Rattus norvegicus: one gene and its partner. Each later gene encodes a partner of the first gene's protein in a complex. Links are inferred from orthologs where the notes say so. Each region holds a gene or a part of one and is shown in the gene's direction. Other genes may lie near its edges. The genes, in order: Bbs7 and Arl6.

Region 1 (3,824 bases):
GTGCAAAGGGGAAGTCAAGACGGAGTTGTTACCGTGCAGTAGCAGTGTCCACTCACTTCCTGCTCAGTTATGATTCACAAATCACTGGGCTTCCTCATCTTGAAATCAGTTGTGGGAATGTGCTTCACCATGTGACATTCTAATTCCTATAACCATAACTGCACAGTGCAGGGGAACATGTTTGGTTCTCTTTGATGACATTGTTGTACTAAGAGCATAGAGCTGGAGGCCATTGTTAGGATTCCATAGGAATGACCTCAGAGCAGAGGAGTAGTAATAGTCTCGAGTTTAGATGCTTATGGACCAGCTTTCTTACAAGGAAGAAATGCTAGATAGTCATTTTAGTTCAGAAAAAGTAAATGTAACTAAATGGTATAAAGTCAACATTCTGGCATATATGGAATCTTTTTCTATTTTTATAAGTTTATTTTTCTGATGCATAAAAACAAACTACATATGAATGGTATCATGATGTTTTGATACATATATACCTAATATTTTCCCTTTAAAAATTTCCCTTATTGTAGCATTTGAAAAATGAGATTTTTACATTAAAATGTTTTTAGGGGGTTGGGGATTTAGCTCAGTGGTAGAGCTCTTGCCTTAGCAAGCGCAAGGCCCTGGGTTCGGTTCTCAGCTCCAGAAAAAAAAATGTTTTTAAAAGGTATTTGCATGTTTTTGTTCATTTTAATTTTATCTAGGTGACTCTGGGGAAGGTCTTCTGTTCGGCACATCAGATGGAAGGCTTGGGCTTATTCAGATCACAGCATCCAAACCAATACACAAATGGGAAATTCGAAATGACAAAAAGCGGGGAGGTAGGCTTCCACACGGTTCAGGTTATGAAATGGCAAGAGTCATCTAATGCAATAGCGTGTGCAGTGTATTCTGTTTGATTTAGTTATATCAGACAGCAGGCTTACCTCTGACTTACCTACTATTTGGTTATGGCAACTCTTATACTATAGATGTGATTTTTAAAATAAGAAATGCTACTTCTAGTTTAGGATAGACATACAGGTTAATAGCGTTTAGTCCACACTAAACCCCACTGTAACTGGGATAGAGAATTAATTGGAATCTAGGACATAAGAAATGTAGTGGGTTAGAAACTATTCCAAGTTTTTAAAGACCTTACAGATTTCCAAAGATTTACGCCCAACTTGGCAGCCAGTGAAACGGCTCTGTATATGTACAGGGAGTTTGTTCATCTGTTCATTTATCCTTAGCAAATACTTCCTGTGCGAGAGAATGGGTGGTGACTGTGCGTGCTCACTGCCCCGTCACCTGAAGAGAACACAGTAACAGTGAATGGTGAGGGAGGGATGGTGGGCACAGCTCCTCTTAGACTCAGAGGAAGAAGGTGCTGTAGGAAAGGCAATTTGAGCTGAGAAGTTTTGGGGAAAGAATATTCTAAGAGGAGGAAAAACTAATCACGAAGCTCTTGAGACGGAGGTGGGCTAGAGTCATCGGAGGACACTCGAAAGACCAGTGTGGCTGAGCAGCAGTGCGGCCTGAGGAGAATCGCAGGAGCAGGGACAGACTGTGGGTCCTTGAAGCATTGGAGGCGGGGGCTCCAATTAGAGTGCAGTGGGCAGTCCCGGGAGAAGTTTATGTGGAAGGTGTGACGTGGTCAGTTTCACTAAAAAGAACAAAATAGATTTGCATAGAGGATGGGTTTGGGAAGAAACATCCACATTGGAAACAGAGAGCACTCGGAGGTTGTTACAGTTACCAGCATCCTGGTAACTCTAGTTTACAGCATCCTGATTCACCCTTACTATGGAAGGAGAAAGAAGAGAGGGGAAAGAAGATGTCAGGGATAGAGCTGGAAGTGTTTCGTCTGTGTGCTGAGTAGCGTAATTTACTGGAAATGGGGGACAACCAGAGAGTGAGCAGTGCTGAAACAGTGCAGTAGAGTAGTAAAGAACTGTGCTGGGGGAGGAAGAGCGTGAGGTGCCCGTGTGCACGGGAAGGTGCCACATAAGAGCCTGGGGCTTCCTGAGGGTCAGAGCTAAGGGAGATGTAAACGTGTGCGGGTGCACTGCTGTGCGGGTGCACTGCTGTGTGGGTGCACTGCTGTGTAAATTGTTTGAAGCTTTGCAAAGAGAAAAACACCCAATTATATGCAAAGGTGTTCTTTTTACAATAAGTTTTGATGACTGTGTGGTACTATGTGAGTATATGTCTACCCTCTCCTGCATCTATCAGTTTCCTGTCTCACTGCTCTCATTACTCACCCCGCCCCCGCTTTCTACAGGTATCTTGTGTCTTGACAGCTTTGATATCATGGGTGATGGGGTTAAAGATTTACTTGTTGGGAGAGATGATGGAATGGTGGAAGTGTATAGTTTTGAGAATGCAAATGAACCCGTGCTACGATTTGATCAGGTAAGTTAATTTAGAAAGATTTGTGTGGGGCCTGGAGTGGTAGCTTGGTGTGGAGGACTTGCCTGGTGTGTATAAAGTCCTGGTTCAGCCCCTAAGACTATAAACCAGAAGCAAAACAAACAAAGACTATTTACTTACTGTTGGTTAGTTACTGTAGATATGGTTGATAGTTTGAATTTTTCTAAATTAAAAATATAGTACAATTAAAAAAACAAACAAACAAACAAAACACAATGTTGTTTTTCTATCCCAATCTGGTGAGGCTTCTAAATCCCAACCAGATCCTGAGGGAAAAGGATCAGGAATTCAAGGCCTGCCTGGAAGAGTAATCAACTTTACTGAGACTCTGCCCCAGAGCAGAAATGAAGAAGGGCCAGGACACTGTTCACTGATAAACCCTTTCCTAAAGTGTCCAAGGCTCCAGGTCTGACCACCAGGACAAATAAATAAATACTTGTAAAAATGTTGCCATTACCAAAATCTCTGGTCTGTTCTCCTGTTCAGTGGTGGAGTATTGCCCTTAAGCTGAAGAATAAATTCCTTTTTCATTCTCTCTCTTAAATATAATTTAAAACATACTAGGTATTAAATATTTTATTCTAGCATCTCTAAATTATAACAACACAGTATAGGGAAAACATGTTTGCTTTTCATCGATGGTTTTCATACATGTTTTACGGTAATAAGGGTGTAGACATTTAAGCCATACTGTTAGGATTCCATCGAAACTACCTGACAGCAGGTGCGTCCTGATAACAGACTGGCATCTAGACACTTAAGGACCTGTTTTCTTAGAGAAGAAAGACAAGGTGAAGTCATTCTAGTTCAGAAGATTTAAATGTAATTAAGGCATAGAGTCAATATAGACAGACATTCTCCATACATAGAATTTTTATCTATTTCTTATTAATTTTATTTTCTGACACATTAAAAACAAAAACTATATGAATGGTGGTATCATATGATATCAATATTTTCCCTTAAAGTATTTTAAATTACACTTATTTATATATTAATGTTTATGGGGCATATTTGTGTGCATGTTGTGTGTAAGCGCACACACTGCACACATGGGAGGCAGAGGATAACGTTCAGTTATGGGTTCTCTCTTTCCACCATCCGGATCCCTGGAATCACACTCAGGCTTCAGTTTCAGCGGTAGGCATCTTTACCCACTGAGTCATCCTGCTGGTCCCTGAGCATAATGTTGAACAGTCTTGGGTGGAAATGCTGAAAATGGTTTCCTGCAGCCTTTGCAGCATACGATTGGTAATTGCCACCTGCAGTCGCTCTATACAGTGGCACGCACTCTTTCTAGTTGTGTCAGGATTCACTATCAGAACTCCAAAAATAAGTAAAACTAAACCGAATATCAGAACTTCAGACATGTAAACTATATTGGTGCTCTAATCAACTTTCCCTACTCAGCCCTT
Region 2 (3,824 bases), on another chromosome or scaffold:
ATAACCCAGAGGCTCCAATTAGTGCTGCCCTGATGCTCATGGGTACGGAGCCATCTACGTGGGCACCCAGCCAATGACTGTGTCCCTGAAGGAAATTGATTCGCTTGGTAGCTATTCACTCCTAGCTTCTCAGATAGCATTGTGGCCTTGTGAGCTCTTCCCTAACCCATGCTGGAATGTTGGCTGGCTTGGGCAGTTCTTGTGTGGACAACCAAGGTGGTGAAGAGTTCATGAATACATTGACCCTGTCATGTCCAGAAGTCTCTGCTTGACTGTACCTCCCTCCCCAACCTCTGGCTTGTACAGTCTTTCTGCCTCCTCTTCCAGAATGTTTCCTAAGCCTTGGGAGGAGGGATGTGGTATAGAAAGGTGTTTGATTCAGAGCTGAGCTTTTGCAGTTACTTTTTTATGGACATGGACTGGTTGGGAATTTTTATATCAAAGCTATCCACTGCAAAAAGAAGCTTCTCTGATAAGGGTTGAAAGCTGCATTAATCTGTGGATATAATAATAAAAGTATAGACAGCAGTATTGATGTAGCACACTGATAGTAGTAGGTTTTCCCTATGCCCTCCTCATTTATGGGTTCGTGGTCAGGTTTGCTATGTTTTTCTGCCTGAAAAGCAGGCCTTAAATCCAACCAGAAAGCCATTGGTTTACCCCCATAACCCTCATGCCATGTTTGTACCCATGGACATCAGGTCCTATCATACAGCCTATCAGGTGTGTCAGTACACAGATGACGTAGACTTGCCTCCAGTTTTTGCATAGCACTTTCCTGCACTATGAAAGATAGCTATCAGGAAAGAAGCTTCTGGGTCAGTCTCAGCTGAATTTCTCCATATTATGTGACCAAAGTGTGTGATGTCTTCAGCCATAGTGTCTTAATATCATGAGCAACTAAGAGAAATGACCCATAATTCCCATGGGCAACTAAGAGAAATGACAATACCTTGTACATTGTTTGGAATAGTCTCTGGGACCCTCCCCTCCTAAGCCAACAACTGAAAGAGAGATAACCTATACATGGCATTAATAATAAACACTTCTCAAAGGCCTATCTTAAGAGCTTAGTCTCCAACAATAGGAACTCTGTCTTAGACTAGAGCTTCTAAAATTGTGGGCTGGTTTATCTTAGTATTTGCTCTAGGAACAGAAAGTTGACAAGACATTTTTCTTCTAAATATATGTGTGTGTGTGTGTGTGTGTATTTGTATGTTTATAACAAGTGTGTATATATGTATGCCTCTGTCTATATATCTGTATGTGTACACGCACACGTGTGTTTAAATGTGCATTTACTTTTCTGTTCTACAATGGTATTATAGTTAAAGCTCTTGTACATAATGGTCGGATGTTGTAGATAGTTAAGAAAAGATTGAGTTTAGTAAGATTAACTGAAATTATGAAGGAATGTATCCATTATTCCCAAAGAATTAGTGGTAAATTGCAGAACTATATAAGAGGTGGGTGAATAAGGACATTCTTTGTCTACCAATAGAAAACCCGACCCAAACTGGAAGCCACTCTGTAGAAAACAAAAACAGTAAAACTTTTATAATTACAAATTATTTAAAAAATATCACCATCCTCTGTTTTAGGTATTCGTCTAGTGGTTCAAAGGACATCTGCCCCTTTAACGTTTGCTTGCCTTTCTTCTGCTTTTGAAGCTTTAGCATCACGCTGCAGCTGAGTCTTGTTGCCTTTGTAGTGTTCCGTATCTACCAAACTCTCGTTCATAAATAACACTACACTTGGCAAACTCCGCGTGATACTGAGGCTAACAAGAGTTCCTTCCTGAATATTACAAGTGTGGTTGCTTCAGGGATGTTGTTCCTTGTTGCCAAGGCTTATAAGCTGCCAGTCTGCATTTCAGTTAAGACTCCTTTCTGATAATCGGCTTACACTGTTTACTGGGAGCAAAGCCACACGGATGGGTTTGTGTGCTGCCATTGTCTTTTCATTTTTCATGTACAGACAAATGCATTTCATGTGTAAGGTACCTTTGAAATAATAGTTTCTTTTCCCTTACAGTTGCTGTTTAAATATTTAAGCCACAATATGGGATTGCTGGACAGACTTTCAGGTTTACTTGGCCTGAAGAAGAAGGAGGTTCATGTTTTATGCCTCGGGCTGGATAATAGTGGGAAAACAACAATCATTAACAAACTGAAACCCTCAAATGTAAGTATTTCTGTTATTCTCGACATTTCCTGATACTAGAGAAATGTTATATGAAACATTCCTTTTAAGTTACAACTTCATATATTTGTATGAAGTCCTGCTAGTCTTGTAAGGAATATCAAAGGGATATCAGTGAACTGTAGCTTGCTACATATGCAACATATTTATTTATTTGTTTATTTATTTATTTGTTTATTTTCTTTTTTTCGGAGCTGGGGACCGAACCCAGGGCCTTGCACTTGCTAGGCAAGCACTCTACCACTGAGCTAAATCCCCAACCCCAACATATTTATGACTGTGTAGGTATATCTTGATTATTAAGATGGGATGTTCTCTTTTTCTTCCTTTATTTTCTCCTAAAGATCTTCACAAATTGGCTAAGTTTACTTACAGGTTGCACTCACTTTGTTTAAATTTCTTCTAAGTTCTGTGTATAATTAAACAATGGTGTGCGTATCAGTGACAGATGGTGATTTTGAGTAACATGTATGAAAATATTATTATTAAAACTATATAAAGCTAGCATGTGAAACATGATTCACAAGTCAGAGGTAGGCATTATTAAATATTATTCTTGATATTATTTCCTGAACCTTAAGCTGGAGGCAACTGTCTCTTACTTTTACCATGTTTAGATATGGGCCTTGAATTTCTGATCTTTCCAAGACTTTTATCATGGATAGAATTCTGCACTAAACCCATGTGGTCCTGGGCATTTTTTGATTGGGAGACTTTTAATGACTTCTGTTTCTATAGGGGTTATGGGACTGTTTAGATGATGTCTTAGTCAGGGTTTCTATTCCTGAACAAACATCATGACCAAGAAGCAAGTGGGGGAGGAAAGGGTTTATTCAGCTTACACTTCCACACTGCTGTTCATCACCAAAGGAAGTCAGGACAGGACAGGTCAGGAGCAGGAGCTGATGCAGAGGCCATGGAGGGATGTTACTCACTGGCTTCCTTCCCTTGCCTTGCTCAGCTTGCTTTCTTGTAGAATCCAAGACCACCAGCCCAGGGATGGCACCACCCAGAATGGTCTGAGCCCTCCCCCCTTGATCACTAGTTGAGAAAATGCCTTACAGCTGGGTCTCGTGAAGACATTCCCACAACTGAGGCTCCTTTTCTGTGATAACACCAGCTTGTGTCAAGTTGACACACAAAACTAGCCAGTACAGATGGTTTCTTTGATCATGATTTATATTTGGTACCTGGTATCTATCTAGAAAATTATCCATTTCCTCCAGATTTTTCAGTTTTGTTGAATATAGGCTTTTGTAGTGCTAGGATCTCATGATTTTTGAATTTCCTCTGATTCTGTTGTTATGTCTCCCTTTTCATTTCTGATTTTGTTAATTTGGATACTGTCTCTGTGCCCTCTGGCTAGTCTGGCAAAGGGTTTATCTATCTTGTTGATATTTCTCAAAGGATGAGCTCCTGGTTTTGTTGATTCTTTCTCTAGTTTTTGCTTCTACTTGGTTGATATCAGCTCTGAGTTTGATTATTTCCTGCCTTCTACTCCTCCTGGGTATTTGCTTCTTTTTGTTCTAGAGCTTTTAGGTGTGCTGTCAAGCTGCTGATATATGCTCTCTCCTGTTTCTTTTTTGGGGCACTCAGAGCTATGAGTTTTCCTCTTTGCACTG

The links.
Region 2: the proteins of Bbs7 (region 1) and Arl6 are in contact, whole or in part, in a cryo-EM structure (PDB 6VBV), measured with the Bos taurus proteins. The link is inferred for Rattus norvegicus from reciprocal best matches to the Homo sapiens genes BBS7 and ARL6. Residues at the interface, in NP_001178275.2 of Bos taurus: Leu3, Ile249, Val250, Gly251, Asp300, Gly301, Tyr302, Asp303, Thr319, Glu320, Pro321, His323, Lys324, Glu325, Ser326, Gly327, Pro328; in NP_001069250.1 of Bos taurus: Met132, Asp133, Arg135, Thr139, Ser140, Val141, Ser144, Trp157, His158, Ile159, Cys160, Ala161, Asp163, Lys166.

The regions. Positions count from the first base shown.
Region 1 is NC_086020.1:121,388,714-121,392,537, reverse strand, and holds part of Bbs7 (Bardet-Biedl syndrome 7 protein), read left to right. Parts: intron 1-701; coding exon 702-818; intron 819-2,260; coding exon 2,261-2,391; intron 2,392-3,824.
Region 2 is NC_086029.1:54,184,247-54,188,070, forward strand, and holds part of Arl6 (ADP-ribosylation factor-like protein 6), read left to right. Parts: intron 1-2,034; 5' UTR 2,035-2,061; coding exon 2,062-2,184; intron 2,185-3,824. UniProt on the Homo sapiens protein: Involved in membrane protein trafficking at the base of the ciliary organelle. Mediates recruitment onto plasma membrane of the BBSome complex which would constitute a coat complex required for sorting of specific membrane proteins to the primary cilia.